Xenopus tropicalis: one gene and its partner. The protein of the gene in region 1 binds, or shares a complex with, the protein of each later gene. Links are inferred from orthologs where the notes say so. Each region holds a gene or a part of one and is shown on either strand. Other genes may lie near its edges.

Evidence for each region. The genes of interacting proteins can lie anywhere in the genome.
Region 2: the proteins of dbf4 (region 1) and cdc7 are in contact, whole or in part, in a crystal structure (PDB 6YA8), measured with the Homo sapiens proteins. The link is inferred for Xenopus tropicalis from reciprocal best matches to the Homo sapiens genes DBF4 and CDC7. Residues at the interface, in NP_006707.1 of Homo sapiens: Thr210, Arg211, Thr212, Gly213, Arg214, Leu215, Lys217, Pro218, Phe219, Val220, Lys221, Val222, Glu223, Asp224, Met225, Ser226, Gln227, Leu228, Tyr229, Arg230, Pro231, Phe232, Tyr233, Leu234, Leu236, Met239, Pro240, Ile242, Asn243, Tyr244; in NP_001127891.1 of Homo sapiens: Asn56, Val57, Phe58, Ala77, Gln78, Leu79, Gln80, Ile87, Ile93, Pro94, Thr95, Ser96, His97, Pro98, Ile99, Arg100, Ile101, Ala102, Leu105, Gln106, Thr109, Lys121, Tyr122, Cys123, Phe124, Arg125, Asn127, Asp128, Val130, Leu143.

The regions. Positions count from the first base shown.
Region 1 is NC_030682.2:29,280,551-29,287,461, reverse strand, and holds part of dbf4 (protein DBF4 homolog A), read left to right. Parts: intron 1-2,353; 5' UTR 2,354-2,417; intron 2,418-2,912; 5' UTR 2,913-2,938; coding exon 2,939-3,088; intron 3,089-3,829; coding exon 3,830-4,024; intron 4,025-4,860; coding exon 4,861-4,911; intron 4,912-5,347; coding exon 5,348-5,417; intron 5,418-6,732; coding exon 6,733-6,809; intron 6,810-6,911. UniProt on the Homo sapiens protein: Regulatory subunit for CDC7 which activates its kinase activity thereby playing a central role in DNA replication and cell proliferation. Required for progression of S phase.
Region 2 is NC_030680.2:104,925,003-104,932,536, reverse strand, and holds the start of cdc7 (cell division cycle 7-related protein kinase), read left to right. Parts: upstream 1-2,797; 5' UTR 2,798-2,908; coding exon 2,909-2,930; exon of another isoform or gene 2,931-2,951; intron 2,952-3,046; exon of another isoform or gene 3,047-3,220; intron 3,221-5,221; coding exon 5,222-5,305; intron 5,306-6,586; coding exon 6,587-6,722; intron 6,723-7,534. UniProt on the Homo sapiens protein: Kinase involved in initiation of DNA replication. Phosphorylates critical substrates that regulate the G1/S phase transition and initiation of DNA replication, such as MCM proteins and CLASPIN.

The DNA of each region.
Region 1 (6,911 bases):
CACAAAACCCAATTTTTGCTTTGGGTTGGCATGTCAACCCCCAAAAATATTTCTTTGCTTAATAAAAAGAAAACATAATTATTAGCAACTTTCCAATATGAATTTATTACAGATTTTTAGTGCTTTAAAAGTTATGTGTAAATGTAATTGCTACTGAAAGCAGCATTTGCTGAACTCCTGGTTATGATTTTTCAAACAATGTTGCAAAAGCCAGTCTCCTCCAGCAAGGCAGGTCTGTCAGTCTGCTGGCTTATGTTACATTGTTTCAAATGCCAGAGCCAACAGGGCAGAGACTAGAAAAGGACAAACTGCTTATAATAGCAATTATATATACAAATAACTTTAATGGAGACATCCTATAAAAATTATGAATGTGCCAGTGAATTATACTCCTCTAGATATAGAAGGATTGTGCTAAAAAGCTGTATTTCAGAGAAATTCCCCCAAAACCCCACTAGTCCCGCCCATCTGTTCCACTTCCTTCTGGCTGAATTCTCTGGATGAGCTGGGGAGCCGGCGGCCATCCGTACACTGCAATGTAGGATAGGAACCAATCAGCAGCTAGGCTGACCTGATAGGGAACTGAAGCCTGTCTTTGCTTGTGTGAGTGCAGGGCTGTGATTGGCTCTCCCCCTCCTACTGTGCTTCTGGCAGGGACCGTTAGGACACACCCACTCTTCATTTTAAACTCGGACAGAGAAGAGAGAGGATCTATAGGGAGCTCCAATAAAGGGGCCATTTTTACAGATAGGGTTAATGTTTAGCCCAAAGGGAAACCAGCGCCGTATATTATTCATAATTGCCTACAATATTAGGGTTTTTCCCATTTATCCAATATGTCTCCTTAATAATCTATTACAAATTTGTAATGAATGTAGATTGTAAAGTTGCTTAGATTTGTTTTCTTTTATTAGGCAAATGTCCTAATAAAAGAAAATAATTTTTAGTAACTTTCCAATATACATTTATACCATTGAATGTTTTCAGTGGTTTTAATGTTTGTAAATTATACTTGCTATTGAAAGTATCATGCTTATTATATATATTCTCTGCACTGTTGGATATGACTTTTGCAGCAGTGTAGCAATTGTCAGTTCTCTTTCATTTCTGCTGATTAACTTGCGTCAGCTACATTTTTAAATTACTATAAAGAACAAGGAAAGTATACTATACTATAAAGAACCTGTGATGGAAATTACTTTTATCATGCTGGAGCTTCTTTTTGGAAAAAAAAAAACTACACTCTCCTGAACATTGTAAAGAAGTGCCACCATCTTACCTTTCTCTTCCAGCTAGCACTCTCCAACTTAGACCTGTGCATGCCCAACAGAGTACAGCTTCACAGTTTTATGATTTTTTGCTTGGGAGAGAGTGTTTACTAATTGTTGTTGAAAGGTTAATGTAAAGGAGTAGCAGACAGGCAGCAATGCTAACCACTATGCCAATTACTTAGGGTAACTTAGGACATAAACTGTGCTAATACATTACATGTCTCTGCTGGTTGAGAAAATTGCCAAATTAAATTGGAATGTGAAGTTCTGATCTATTATCGGAAGTACTTGGTCAGTAGTCACAGTTTATTGTGCTTGGAGCAATGCCATTTGCTGCATGCTATTGGCCATGGTGTTATATGTGTAACTGCACAATAATGTTGGTAGTCACACAGGTGACAACAGCGTAAATTATAGAGTGAAAGCAGTGGGTTTATACAGCAGTATCACATAACTTATTCCGTATAGAGGGGCAGTGTTAGAAAACACACTATGGGGCACATTTACTAATCCACGAACGTCCGAAAAGCGTCCGAATGCATTTTTTCCGTAATGATCGGTATTTTGCAATTTTTTCGTAAATTGTCGTGACTTTTTCGTAGCGTTACGACTTGCGTGAATTGTCACGACTTTTTCGTAGCTGTCGCGCCGAGTACGAAAGTTTCGGATTCATTCAAGCTTCAGTATCGTGACTTTCCTTGGGCCAGGTTGGAGCTGCAGAGTGCCATTGAGTCCTATGGGAGGCTTCCAAAATCATGCAAAGTCTGAAAGGTTTGCCTGCCGTTTACGAGCGCTCAATACGAAAAAGTCGCGACAATATACGAGCAAATCGTAACGGCTACGAAAAAAATCGCAAAATGTTCGTTTCCAATCTGAATTTTTCCCATTCGGATTCGTGGATTAGTAAATGTGCCCCTATATGTATATTTTTACAATCTGTTATCCTTTGTAATTTTTCCCATTTGCTCATCCACTGTACTTGGCCCGTTATCAGTTTTGCATGGTTTTGTATTGAATGCATACCATTGGGATGACCAATCTTTGCATTTACAAGTTAGTTAACTGATCTTACATTTTCTTAGGTGGTGCTTTCTCCGGAGGACAAAGCAAATGAAGCTAGCAGGGGACCCAAGTTGCAAAGGAACAGTGAGTTGAAATTTTCACCTTTTGTAAATATACATCTTTCCTTTTTAATTTGTGTATTTTGTTAAAGGAACAGTAACACCAAAAAATGAAAGCGTATAAAAGTAATTTAGAATATAATGTACTGCTGCCCTGCCCTGGTACAACTGGTATGTTTGCCTCAGAAATTTATATAAACAAAGCTGCCGTGTAGCCACAGAGGCAGCCATTCAAAAGGGAAAAGGCACATAGCAGATAATAGATAAAACACTGTATTCTACAGAGATTATCTGTTATCGGCTATGTAACCTGTGCCTTTTCCCTGTACTGATGCAGGGCATCAGTACATTATATTTCAATTACTTTAAAAAGCTTTTATTTTTTGGTGTTACTGTTCCTTTAAAGTTCTAAGTTAGGTTATTGGCTCAAGGAAAAGCTTGGCATTTTTTCGATAGAGAAGAAAACAGTTGTCGGAGAATGTTGTAATAATACAGATTGCCTTTTTCTCTTGTTTTGAAGGAGCACCACATGGGCGAGGTGTGAAAATGAAATCCACTGTAGCAACAGTGAAGAATCCAACTGGAAAAGTTCAAGCAGACATATGCAAACCTTTTTCTGGGAAAGTGTTCTATCTTGACCTAACATCCAAATTAATATCTGAAAAACTGGAAAAAGACATAAAAGAACTTGGAGGTGTAAGTCAACTATAAAAAACTTAATGCAACTAGTGTATCTTTTACTTCATTGTAAAAGATTGTATTGTATTACATTTTTATTTATGTATGTCGGTAGGTAGTGATGGCACTCAAAGGGATTTGCACCCAATGTCATCAGGTGAAGAAAAATGAGGTTTATTCAGTCCAACGTTTCTGTTCCTGATTGGAACTTTCATCAGGGACACCAGCACCATGTGTGTTACAAACCTAAGTTGGTGCCAATGTTGTTGCTAGGCAACCAACGTGCAGTAAAAGTTATACAAACATTGCGTTATGCTGATTTTGTGCTGCTTACACACACACCAATTGTGTGCTTTCTATCACAGCTGGATATATTACCATGTTTACTTTCCTTCCCCTTAAAAGCTGTTAAAGTTATAGTTTCTGATTTACTACTACTTGAAAGCAATAGATTTTGTAAAAGTGAACTACTCCTTTAAGGATGTTTTCAGATAAATTTCTGAGTGGCTCATCTGTAGAAGTACTAAATATCTGTTACCCCTGTGCTGCAAGAGAGAATGTTTTGCTAGAAATTAGCATTTGTACTCATTACTTTTTACATTACAAATTCGTAAATGAACCTTCAATTGCCTGCTAATTATAGAAGCCGTTGGCATTAAGCTGTGATATACTGCCTTGTCTGGGAGGTGTGAACAGGTGAAAGGAACTGTTATCTGTTTTAAAATGTCTTAAAATTGTTACCCCTCCATATTTTCTCAGACTGTTGAAGGATTTCTCAGCAAAGAAATCAGCTATCTTATAACAAGTAAAAAGGAAGCAAAATGTGTGAAGACTTTGAAGTATGTTTGTTCTGTACCGAGTCCCGAACCTGCTCAAAACACCGGAGAGAGTTCAACCAGCCCAGGCAATAGGCGATTACCTCAAGAAGGAAATTCAAGTAAAAAAAATGAAAAGGTATCAGGCTAAATTAACTTCTGACTTTAAATTGTGCTCACATAGAAACATTACATTAGTCCAAAGTCCTGTGCAAAATCCTTGATTGTCTATTAACATTGAAAAGTATGTAAATCATGCAAGTTTCTTTGTGTAGAATTGAGTAAGTGTATTCTTATAATGGGGTAGAACATTCTGTAGCTTTCAGTTAGCCCAGTGCTGCCCTGTGTGTACAGTCACTGACAGGAAGGGGGTCAGCCTGCCGCTGTGCACAAGGGGGCAGATTTCACGTAGAAAATGCACATCACAGAACACCGAGCATTTGAAGAAACACATATTTTATCATCTCAAAGATTTGGTCAGATATTTAATTTGCAAATTATTATGCAAATAATACATATCTGACCAAAATTAAATAGACCAAAATATTGCATAATTTGCTAAATATTTGCTTGTTTCATCTGTCCAGAGCTGTAATGTCACATGACCTTTTTTGGGGATGATTTATTAGTTCCCCTATCTTAAAGGAACAGTATCATATTTTTTATTTTTTTTTCGGTTAAAGCTCGGGTGCCCAAACCTGTCAGCAAGTTCTGTTTAAACCATTTAATTACACATCAATGTGTGTGTTTAAATGGAAGTCCATCTATTGCTCCACTGACTTGAGAATTCTTGGTGTCTCAAGAATTCTTGAGTTGCTGTGCTGTAAAAGTCTTTGGAAACTTTGTGCAATGAGAGAAAACATTTGTCAAACTACACATAAGTGCTGTGTTTAGTCAGGAAAAAGCAAAGTTTCTCAGATATTGATTAATATAACATTTATCTGAACTTTTTTTTTTTTTTTATTGTGTAAACAGAGCCTTGTAAGTCGGGGGAAATCTTTAGTGAAAAAGGCGATCAAAGAGCAGGTGAGACTCTTACATTTGCTAATGACTATTTATATTTTCTTGCTTTCCTCAGTCTATTATTTGTTACTAGTAAAATAGCTCATTTACAGATTGTTCAGAGGGGCAGTACGCCCAATGTTATATCTAATTCCATCTTGGCTATGTGTGCAAAAATATCTTTTGTGTGCACATTTTAAAAAATGGTGTGTTCAGGTCAGAATGGATACAGAATGTTGTGTTTTCATACAAATTTCTTTGTGTGCACCACAATTTGCTGTGTGTGCACGAACACACAGCTTAAAGGGAACATTTAGTACACCCCCTGTTTTAAAATTAGCGGGTGATTTGTTCCACGGCATTCTCCTTTTTAATTTAGAAATATTTATGGTGGTTTCTTTTTTTCTTCTATGGTAAACTGCTTTGATATAGTCTGTTCTTCTGGTATCTATTTTCACAGGAAATTCTACCAAAAAATAGTATTTTATCTAATGCCCTCAACTGGGGAGTTAAAATACTTCATGTTGAAGGTAAGACTTTTTTTTTCTTCTTCCCTATTTCTCTTTCTTTTGGATTGATTGCAAACAATGTCTATGAATTGGTAGCTTCATCTTTTTTATTATAAAAACATAGAAAAAATGACCTATAATAAACCTGTGCATAGGCAACATTGTGTGGATTCAAGCTGTATAAAAACCATAGCAGTCTGCGGCATGCTTAGAAATAGCTATGCAGCATGTTGATTTTATTTATCTTTTTACTGGTTTTAATAGCATTATCCAGCAACCCCAATTTATATAAGGTAACATTGCTTTTTATTGGGAAATTTCCTATGCAGTGTTATACGTAAGTATCTGCATATTTGGTTCTTGATTCATTAGAAATATTTTAAAACAACTCTGTTTAAAGTGACACCTTCCAGGTGTGTAACTGCAGTGTGTATGTATATTATATATAATTAGATAAAAATGCCAGCACTCGTGTTACTGGTAAAGAGACTTGCCTGGTTGCAATCCTCATAGAATTTCGATAGAAAGTAGAACATATAGAAGTCTCACAGGATTTATGAAAATACAAAAGACATTTATTGAACAAGAGAAACTGACGTTTCAGCTGTAGAACCAGCCTTTCTCAAAGTTACAAAACCAAGTGCAAATGATCTATAAATACTGTGTGTGGCGGGGAAAAATTAAAAATGTGATGTATAGCAAACATAAACGTTCACATTTAGCACAAAAAACTTGAATCTTTAAAAAAAAAAAAATATCAAACTCGAGCGTTGATAAATCTTCCTTCTAAATAAAGTCAATAGTTAATAACCTTTGCCATAAAGGAATAAGTTCCCAAGCAAATGGCGAGAGATGGATCTGTATATGTAACAAATAATTATATGTTATATATGTTTATTTTTTTTTTTAATTCATAATTTGTGGCAAGACTATATCAAGTGCAAGTCGATTTGTATTTGGGGGCAGGGCAGAATCCTCATAGGATAAGTGTAAAGAGTAGGGATGCACTGTAACCAGGATTTGGTTCAGTATTCGGCCTTTTTTTTGCAGGGTTCGATTTCGGCTGAATCGAATCTGAATCCTAATTAGCATAAATTAGCATATGCTAATTTGCATTTCGAAGGGCTACATTTTTGGGGGGGGGATTTTTTCAGTGTGAGCTGATGTTTAACCCTTCCCGATCCTAATTAGCATTCGGTTTGGTATTCGGCCGTTTGGTGAAAAGTGGGTTTGGTGCATCCCTAGTAAAGAGTCCCTCAGTCTGAAATCTAGATGTCTAGAAGCAGCCCTGTATTGTTCAGTCTTATTTAACAGTATCACCCAACCTACATTTCAGAAGCAAAGCGTTACATTGAAAAGAAGAAAAGTTCATTGCAGCAAGTCAAAAAATCCCAACCTGTAGTCAAGTCTGAAGTAAGTGTTTCAATCTACAATGTGTGTCTCTGTTCTATGTGTAATGCGGGAAAGGAAATATTTACTTAGGCCTTAGGCAAGCCAATCCTAATGTGTTTGCAG
Region 2 (7,534 bases), on another chromosome or scaffold:
GTATATGTATTTATCGTATCGGCTAACCAATCGTTTTAACATATGATTCATTCATCTATGGTTAATAATATGTGAGGAGACTTGTATTATATCTTTGTCGTATTGGCTGCAAGATCATAAACATACATGTTTATCTTATATTATGGAAAATGTTTTTTTAATTCCAGTTGCACGCAAATTAACCCCTGTACTTACAGCTTGGTTATAGAGCTCTGTTATGTTAAAGAACTTTCTTGTTAAAGTTTGGTTTTCACTCTACTGCACATGCACAAGCGGTGCGAAGATAGAAGAAGGAAGAGGATCAGTCCCTCGCAGCTACACTGGACTGGTGTAGTTTTCTTCTAACAGAAGTACCAGCCTGGGGTAAAAGGTAAGCAATTACCATAACTTGGGGGGATCCAATATTTGCCCCCCTCGTAACAAGTAGCCCTAAGGGCTTGTTGTCATGGGTACTAAATGCTTCTGCTGAAACACACATAGAGACAGTTATCAGTAAATGATCAGCATTGTCTATTTTTGTAGCGAAGACAAGTAGCTGCTACTAGTATCTCTGTGTGTCTTCACCCTAAAAAGCTTCCAGTGACTTACCAGAAAATGCACCAACAGTTCCCCACACAGTCCATGGTTTATATCTAGACAGGTTGTGTCTCAAAACTAGTTGGCTCTACTCAGGGCACCCAGATGTCTGCAGTCTTCTCTATTCATTGGATGGAATTTTGGGGAGTAATTTGAATATTTCTGTCACTGTAGCAGCAAGGACCTATTCTGTCAGATATAGTTTCTTTATGCCAGAGTGTGATTTCTGTCAATTGCTTTTGATTACAAAAAGGGAAGCGGGCCTTATATGTTTGAATTGCACTACAAAAAGCTCCCACAACCATTCACCATTAATATGAGGTCAAACATAACCTAACTCCTGGCTAGAAGATGAATTCCCATAGGCCCAAAACTGAGCAAGATAATAAACCAAACCACAACGCAACAAACAGGCCCACTTTCTGGGCATAAGATAGTGTACCACATCCTTGCTTTACTCCAAGTATACCAGCTTCATTTGTTCGGTCACCTCAGGTGCAGACATGTCCAACAAACCTGGTACCTGTAGAACTCAGCAGTGGTTGCTCCACCAAGTCGTTACCTGGTGGTCTCTTCTGCAAGCAACCAGTTGCAGCTAGTCCCCATTAAATATCCTGAAAAATTCATTTTTGAATCTGACAACATAAAAATTTGAATGGTTTTGCAAAACATAGCAGAAATCTGCTGTCGCACACCAAGGGGCAGATTTACTAATCCACGAATTTGAATCCCGAATGGGAAAAATTCAGATTGGAAACGAAAATTTCTGAAGATCGCAAATATCCCGAAAATGCTTACAAAAAAATCATGATAATATCGTATTGGCGATCCGAAAGTCACAAAATTTTCGTACCTAACCATTGTAAACAGCAGTAAAACCTTTCCGATTTTTTCGCGCAGGCGTCCGAAAAAGTCGTGCGGACCCCCGAAAAATTTGGCAAAGATACGCTCGGAGCGGTCGAATGAATGCACTGAGTGTTCGTGCTTTTGTAAATGTGCCCCCATGTCTAAATTGTCTTTTGACAAAAAAGACACTAACCTTGTTACGTCTTTTTGGAACAGGATAGCCTTTATTTGGCAAAGAATGTTAGGACATGTTGTTTATTATCATACTCCACAATTCAGTGGCTACTATTATTGGGAAGAGTTTGAACAGTGTCAGCTTCTGTTATATCCCTATCTGCCCAATGCCATGGCCATCTCTCTGCACACCATTTATCTTGTCAATATGCAGCAAAAGCAGAGGCCCCTCTGCATCTGTGAAAGGCCAATTTAAAGTGAATTTATCTTGCTGACAGCACTATACCTCATTCCTCCCAAACTGTCAGATCTTCTGTCATCTCTGTTTTCTCTAATCTCTAACATTACAGCTCTAACTACAGCTTGTTCAAGCCTACTATTAAAAACTCTTCCATTTTAGCTAGCAATATCCTTGCTTGTACCTTCATACCAACCCCTCAGTACATTTCCTCTCACATGCACCATTATATTTGTGTTCCTTGGGGATACCCATATACACAGATCTATATATCTATATCCTTTTGGCTAAAATGTATATTCTTGTTATTAGCAAACTTGTGACCAAATGTTATGTTCTTTTCTACCCATAGCCGACCTGCAGTTGTTGATTTTGAAAAAAAGAATTTAATGGCTGCATTACTTAAAAAAAAAAACATTTATTATAAATTATAATTTCCTTTTGTTTGTGAGGAACAGATTAAAACCGTAAAACATTTAAATAAATGTAGCCAATTATTCATTATAGCCATACTTTCACCTCATACATACATAAAAGGTAACTTTTGTTCTAATAGATAATTCATGAGTAAACTTTAGTGGGGCACACGGCTATTTCTTATTTTCTGCGCACAGACAAGGACTTTGCTGCCATGACTGTAAAGCAGATAGGAGTAGGTACGAGCGAGTCTTATTGTTTTAGGTATTGGACAGTATAAAGTGACGTCTGAAAACCACCGACACCAAACAATGTAAAATTTTATTAAAATTCACAAGTATTTTTGAAATTCCTTACCATAAAACCGACTTCCTTCCAACCAATAGTAAATTGTCTACCTCCCTAAACCAAGTATTCTCCATAAAACATTTCGCAGTTCCAGCAACCTTTAACTAGCCAATCGCTTGCAATGCGTCACACCCCTTGCGCCTTCCTATAGGCTGTAGTGGCACGTCTCTGTTAATACAACCAATGGTACGTTTAGGACGAAATGTTAGCCCCGCCTCCCCCGCCGGGCGCGATCTTTCTGTGCAGCTGTGTGTTGTTATTCCGGTGATTTTTGGCGCCATTCGATTCACATTGCTTGTAGGGGTGAGAATGAGTTCGGGGGACACTGCAGGTAATTGAAACGGCATTTTAGGTACTATGTGTATTAGAATTACAAATACAATATGATCGGCGATTTAAAACTCCCGATTTTTCCCCGCCTCTTACTTCCGCCCTCTGAAAACATACAGCGGGCATTTGTAAAGCAGTGAGGACTGTGTATTCTGCAGGGTGACTGGATTAGAAAGGGCATTTGATTGCTACAACTGTGCATACTTACTTACTTACTTTTACTAATTTATATAGTTATAAGTTCACCCATTTGTTCAGCTTAACAATAGTGCTGCTTAACTTAATAACGGGGTAGGTTACCATTAAATGAACTTTTAGTATGATGTAGATATTGTTAAGGGATATTCTCCACAATTGGCATTTGGTCTTTTGTTTTTGTAAAAAATGTTTAACTTGACTTGAATGAGAGACTGCAATATGAATAGACAAGAACCTGAATAGAAAGATAAGTAATTAAAGAAAACATAATTATTAAAGAATAAAAATTAAAGAAAACATAATTGTAGCCTCACAGAGCAATAGTTTTTTTGGTTGCTGGGGTCATGTGACTCCTTTTAGCTCTCAAATAAGGGTCAAAGAGGAAGCCAAACTAAGAACCTATGAACAAATGAAAGAATTAAAAAGTTGTTTTAAAAAATGCCATTCTCTAATAATATATGAAGGGATCTTGTCGTCAAAATCATTTTTTTGGTTGTCTCCCAGTTATATTTTCTAGCTCAGCCACATTGGTCTCATATAGCTTTGTTCTCACAGAGTTCACTGCTCTGGTCATACTTTTTAGCTATACTGAATTGAATAGAATCTATATAAATGGGTGTATACATTGAACATACAGATTTACACACAAAGCAACCGATAAAGAGATATAAAAAAGTGACAGGGGCCTTGGCCAAAAGAGATTACAGTCTAACAATTGGCACCTAGCTTGGGCTATCTATCCTCTCTCAGCAGGGAATTATATTGTGTATACCAACAAGTAGCAAATACCTATGTTTCCTCCATTTGTCAGCCTTGACTCTTGATCTTGCTACTTAGGGGCCCATTTATCAAAGTACGATTGAGTCCGAATTCAAAAGAATTGTATTTTTTTATAAGTTTTAGAACTGTGCGTATTTTTTGTGATTTTATTTAATTTGCGCAACTTTTTTGCACTTTGACAATTTGTGCAACAAAATCGTATTTATTGCAACGAGTACGAAAGTTTTGGATTAATTCAAAATGCATTATGTATTGGAGAAGTAAAATGTAGGTGTCGCTGTATGTGCATAATAGTTTAGTGTTTATGCACTTGGGATGTGTGGGTTGACTAAAAGTCGACTCACATCTGACCTGCCCATCTCTGATGTCATGAAATGGGCAGGGCAGAGCAGACGTGCACTTATAAATTAAAGGAGCCAGAAGCTGGCAGTCTAAGGTCACGGAAGGAAGAGCTCAACCCGTACCCACCCACAAATGGTGTTCAGGAGTAAGCCCAAACCCACACAACCCAAAGGTCCCCATACACCATAAGATCCGCTTATTTGGCGATGTCGCCAAGCGAGCGGATCTTCTCCCGATATCCCCCACCTATAGGTGGGGGATATTGGGAGAATCCAGGGTAATTAGATCGTGTGGCCCTGGAGCTAAACATTCGAATTATAACGGCAGGTATAGGAAAAGTCGGTCTGGGGACCGCATCAACGAGCCAATGCAGTCCCTGATCCGACTAGATTTTCTAACCTGCCTGATCGAGATCTGGATGATTTCAGGCCAGATATCGGTCGGGCAGGCCCGTCGGGAGTGCCCATACAGGGGCCGATTAGTTGCCGAATCGGTACAAGGGACCGATATCAGCAGCTACTATCGGCCCGTGTATGGGGACCTTAACTCGATGCATTCATCAAGGGTTGTGTGTTTTTTTTACTTTAAGAACTTGCTGTGTCTAAACAATTTTGCATTCATCATTATCGGGCAGATTTACTACTCCACGAATTCGAATCCCGAATGGGAAAAATTCGGATTGGAAACGAAAATTTCTGAAGATCGCAAATATCCCAAAAATGCTTACGAAAAAATCGTATTAGTCACGATAATATCGTATTGGCGATCCGAAAGTCACAAAATTTGTAAACAGTGGTAAAACCTTTCTGATTTTTTCGCGCCAGCGTACGAAAAAGTCGTGCGGACGCCTGAAAAATTTGGCGAAAATACGCTCGGAGGTTCGTGCTTTTGTAAATGTGCCCCTATGTATTAATAGTAGTGCTGTATGAGCATAAAGAAAACAGTAAAGGTGTTGTGTATGTTTAATTACAGGAGTGGCAAAGGAAATTGAAAAGCTGTATGCGGCTGTACCTCAACTTCGCAATATTTTCTACATTAAAAGCAAAATTGGGGAAGGTAAAAGGCTTTTTTTAATTTTTATATATTGTTACAAAATTTTTCAGCCACTGAGATGAAATGCTTAAAAGTCACAATATCACCAAAATAAAATCTGTTTTTCCAGAAGAATTTGCTCACAGGAAAGTCATTTAAAAAAATCTTTTATTTTTAAGAAGTAATGACCACTTTTTTATTTGCGTAATTTTTATTTTCCACCTATGCAATCCCGCAAAAACCTTGTAGACCTTGTAAATATGAATTCCACAGTTATATTTGCTCTGATTCTATACTGGCATTGCTCTAATCAACGAATCCCTACTATTTCGGATTCAGCCGAATCCCCAAATCCTTTGTAAAAGATTAGACTGAATTTGGATTTGTAAATTAGGATACAGGAAGGTTAAAGAGTTTAAAAAATTTTCAACTTCCTTGTTTGTGGCAAAAAGTCATGTGATTTTTAACATTCGGATTCAGTTCGGCCAGGAACGTGGATTTGGCATGCATTGTATGTGACATAAGAGCCCTTAAGAGTATGTGGACCCCTGAAAACTGCAAAACTTTGCTAAATTTTGTGGCTTTTATGAGATTTCTAAAAGTTGCATTGCCTAGCATAATATGTAGGGATGCACTGAATCCTAGATTCGGTTCAGTGTTTGGCCAGGATTCAGTCTTTTTCGTCAGGATTTGGCGGAATCCACGGTTCTGGCCGAACCGAATCCTAAAAATCACATAACTTTTTGTCATGTTAACACGGAAGTGAACTATTTTTCCCTTTCAAAATCCTAATTAGCATATGCTAATTCGGACTTGGTTCGGTATTTGGCCAAATTCCTTACGGTGGATTCGGGGGTTCGGATTTGGTGCATCCCTAATAATATGCCTCAGGAATCTTTACATACAGATCCTAAATATGAACACGGGGGGTCTACTGAATGGTTTAATGCCCAGTATACACAATTCAACTAACTATGTCAATGTAAAGGCACCAAAATAAAAACGTTGCACGCACAATTTTCATGGATAAAAACAAGTAATCAATAGCAATGCAGAATGCAGCTTTTTTTGCCCAGAGAATTTGGTTGTGAAATTTCCAGTTTCAGTAGTTTCACTGTGCTATAAAAGTTTTACAGGCTCACACAAGCAATCTGCATCTAAAAAGTACTTAAAATACAATAAAATGGATAACAATGCAACAAAAACACTGAAAATAAAAGAAAAAAATATTTACAGGGTGATCATAACTCAGACACTAAAAACACTAGTTACCCTGAGCAATAAAACAAATATTTTGTTTTTAAGGTACATTTAGTTCTGTGTATTTGGCCATTGGAAGGCTGAGGTCTGGAGAAGATGTAACGTTTGCTTTAAAACATTTAATCCCCACAAGTCATCCAACTCGAATTGCAGCAGAACTCCAGTGCCTTTCAGTAGCTGGGTAAGTATATATAATCCCTTCAATGAATCTAATGAATGCTGTAGCTTTTTTGTGGTTTAATAAAGTAGTACATTTATCCTAATGACAGTACTTTTCAACCTGGCATAAATTACATTGCCCATTTTTCCTTGTTTGGGAGTGTTTATGGTAGCTGTATTCCTCTTATGAGCAATTGAAAACAAAAAGGTGCTAATCTGACTCTTTAGGACACTGCCGCACAGGGTGGATTCTCGAGCTGCAGATAAACGTGGGCCGAGAATCGGTACCCAGAGCTACTGCAACGGCCCAGGTGCAGGCACACAGAGCGGAAAACTGTGCACTTGAGCAGTTATGCACCGGAATCTGCTCTGTGTGCCTGCACCTGGGCTGATGCAGTGGCTCTGGGTGCTGGCTCATCAATGGGCTTTTTCAGTGTAGCGGCGGATTCTGGGCCTGCATTCATCTGCAGGAAGAGAGTCTACCCCATATGGTTGTGCCCTTAAAGTCCTAGGCACAGCCCAGGGCTGAATGCAGGAAAGCCCTGATTTAGAAATTTACTGTAGTACTTAGGATACTGAGCAAAAAAGTTGAGCATCATTGGTATAAGGTACTGTCTGGTGGCTTTGCTCTGGAACTCCCATTGTTTTGCTGATAATATTTACTATCTAGAATTTGTATCTTTCCAGTTACATGCCTCTCTCCCCCTCTGTCATTCATTTCTTTAGTTTTGCTGGTCCTTCACAGTAATTGGCTATATGCAGGAAACCTCTGCTTATTTCCAGTCCCTGATCTAAATAGTTGTCATCCTATCCTACATTAAACTTTGTTTAATT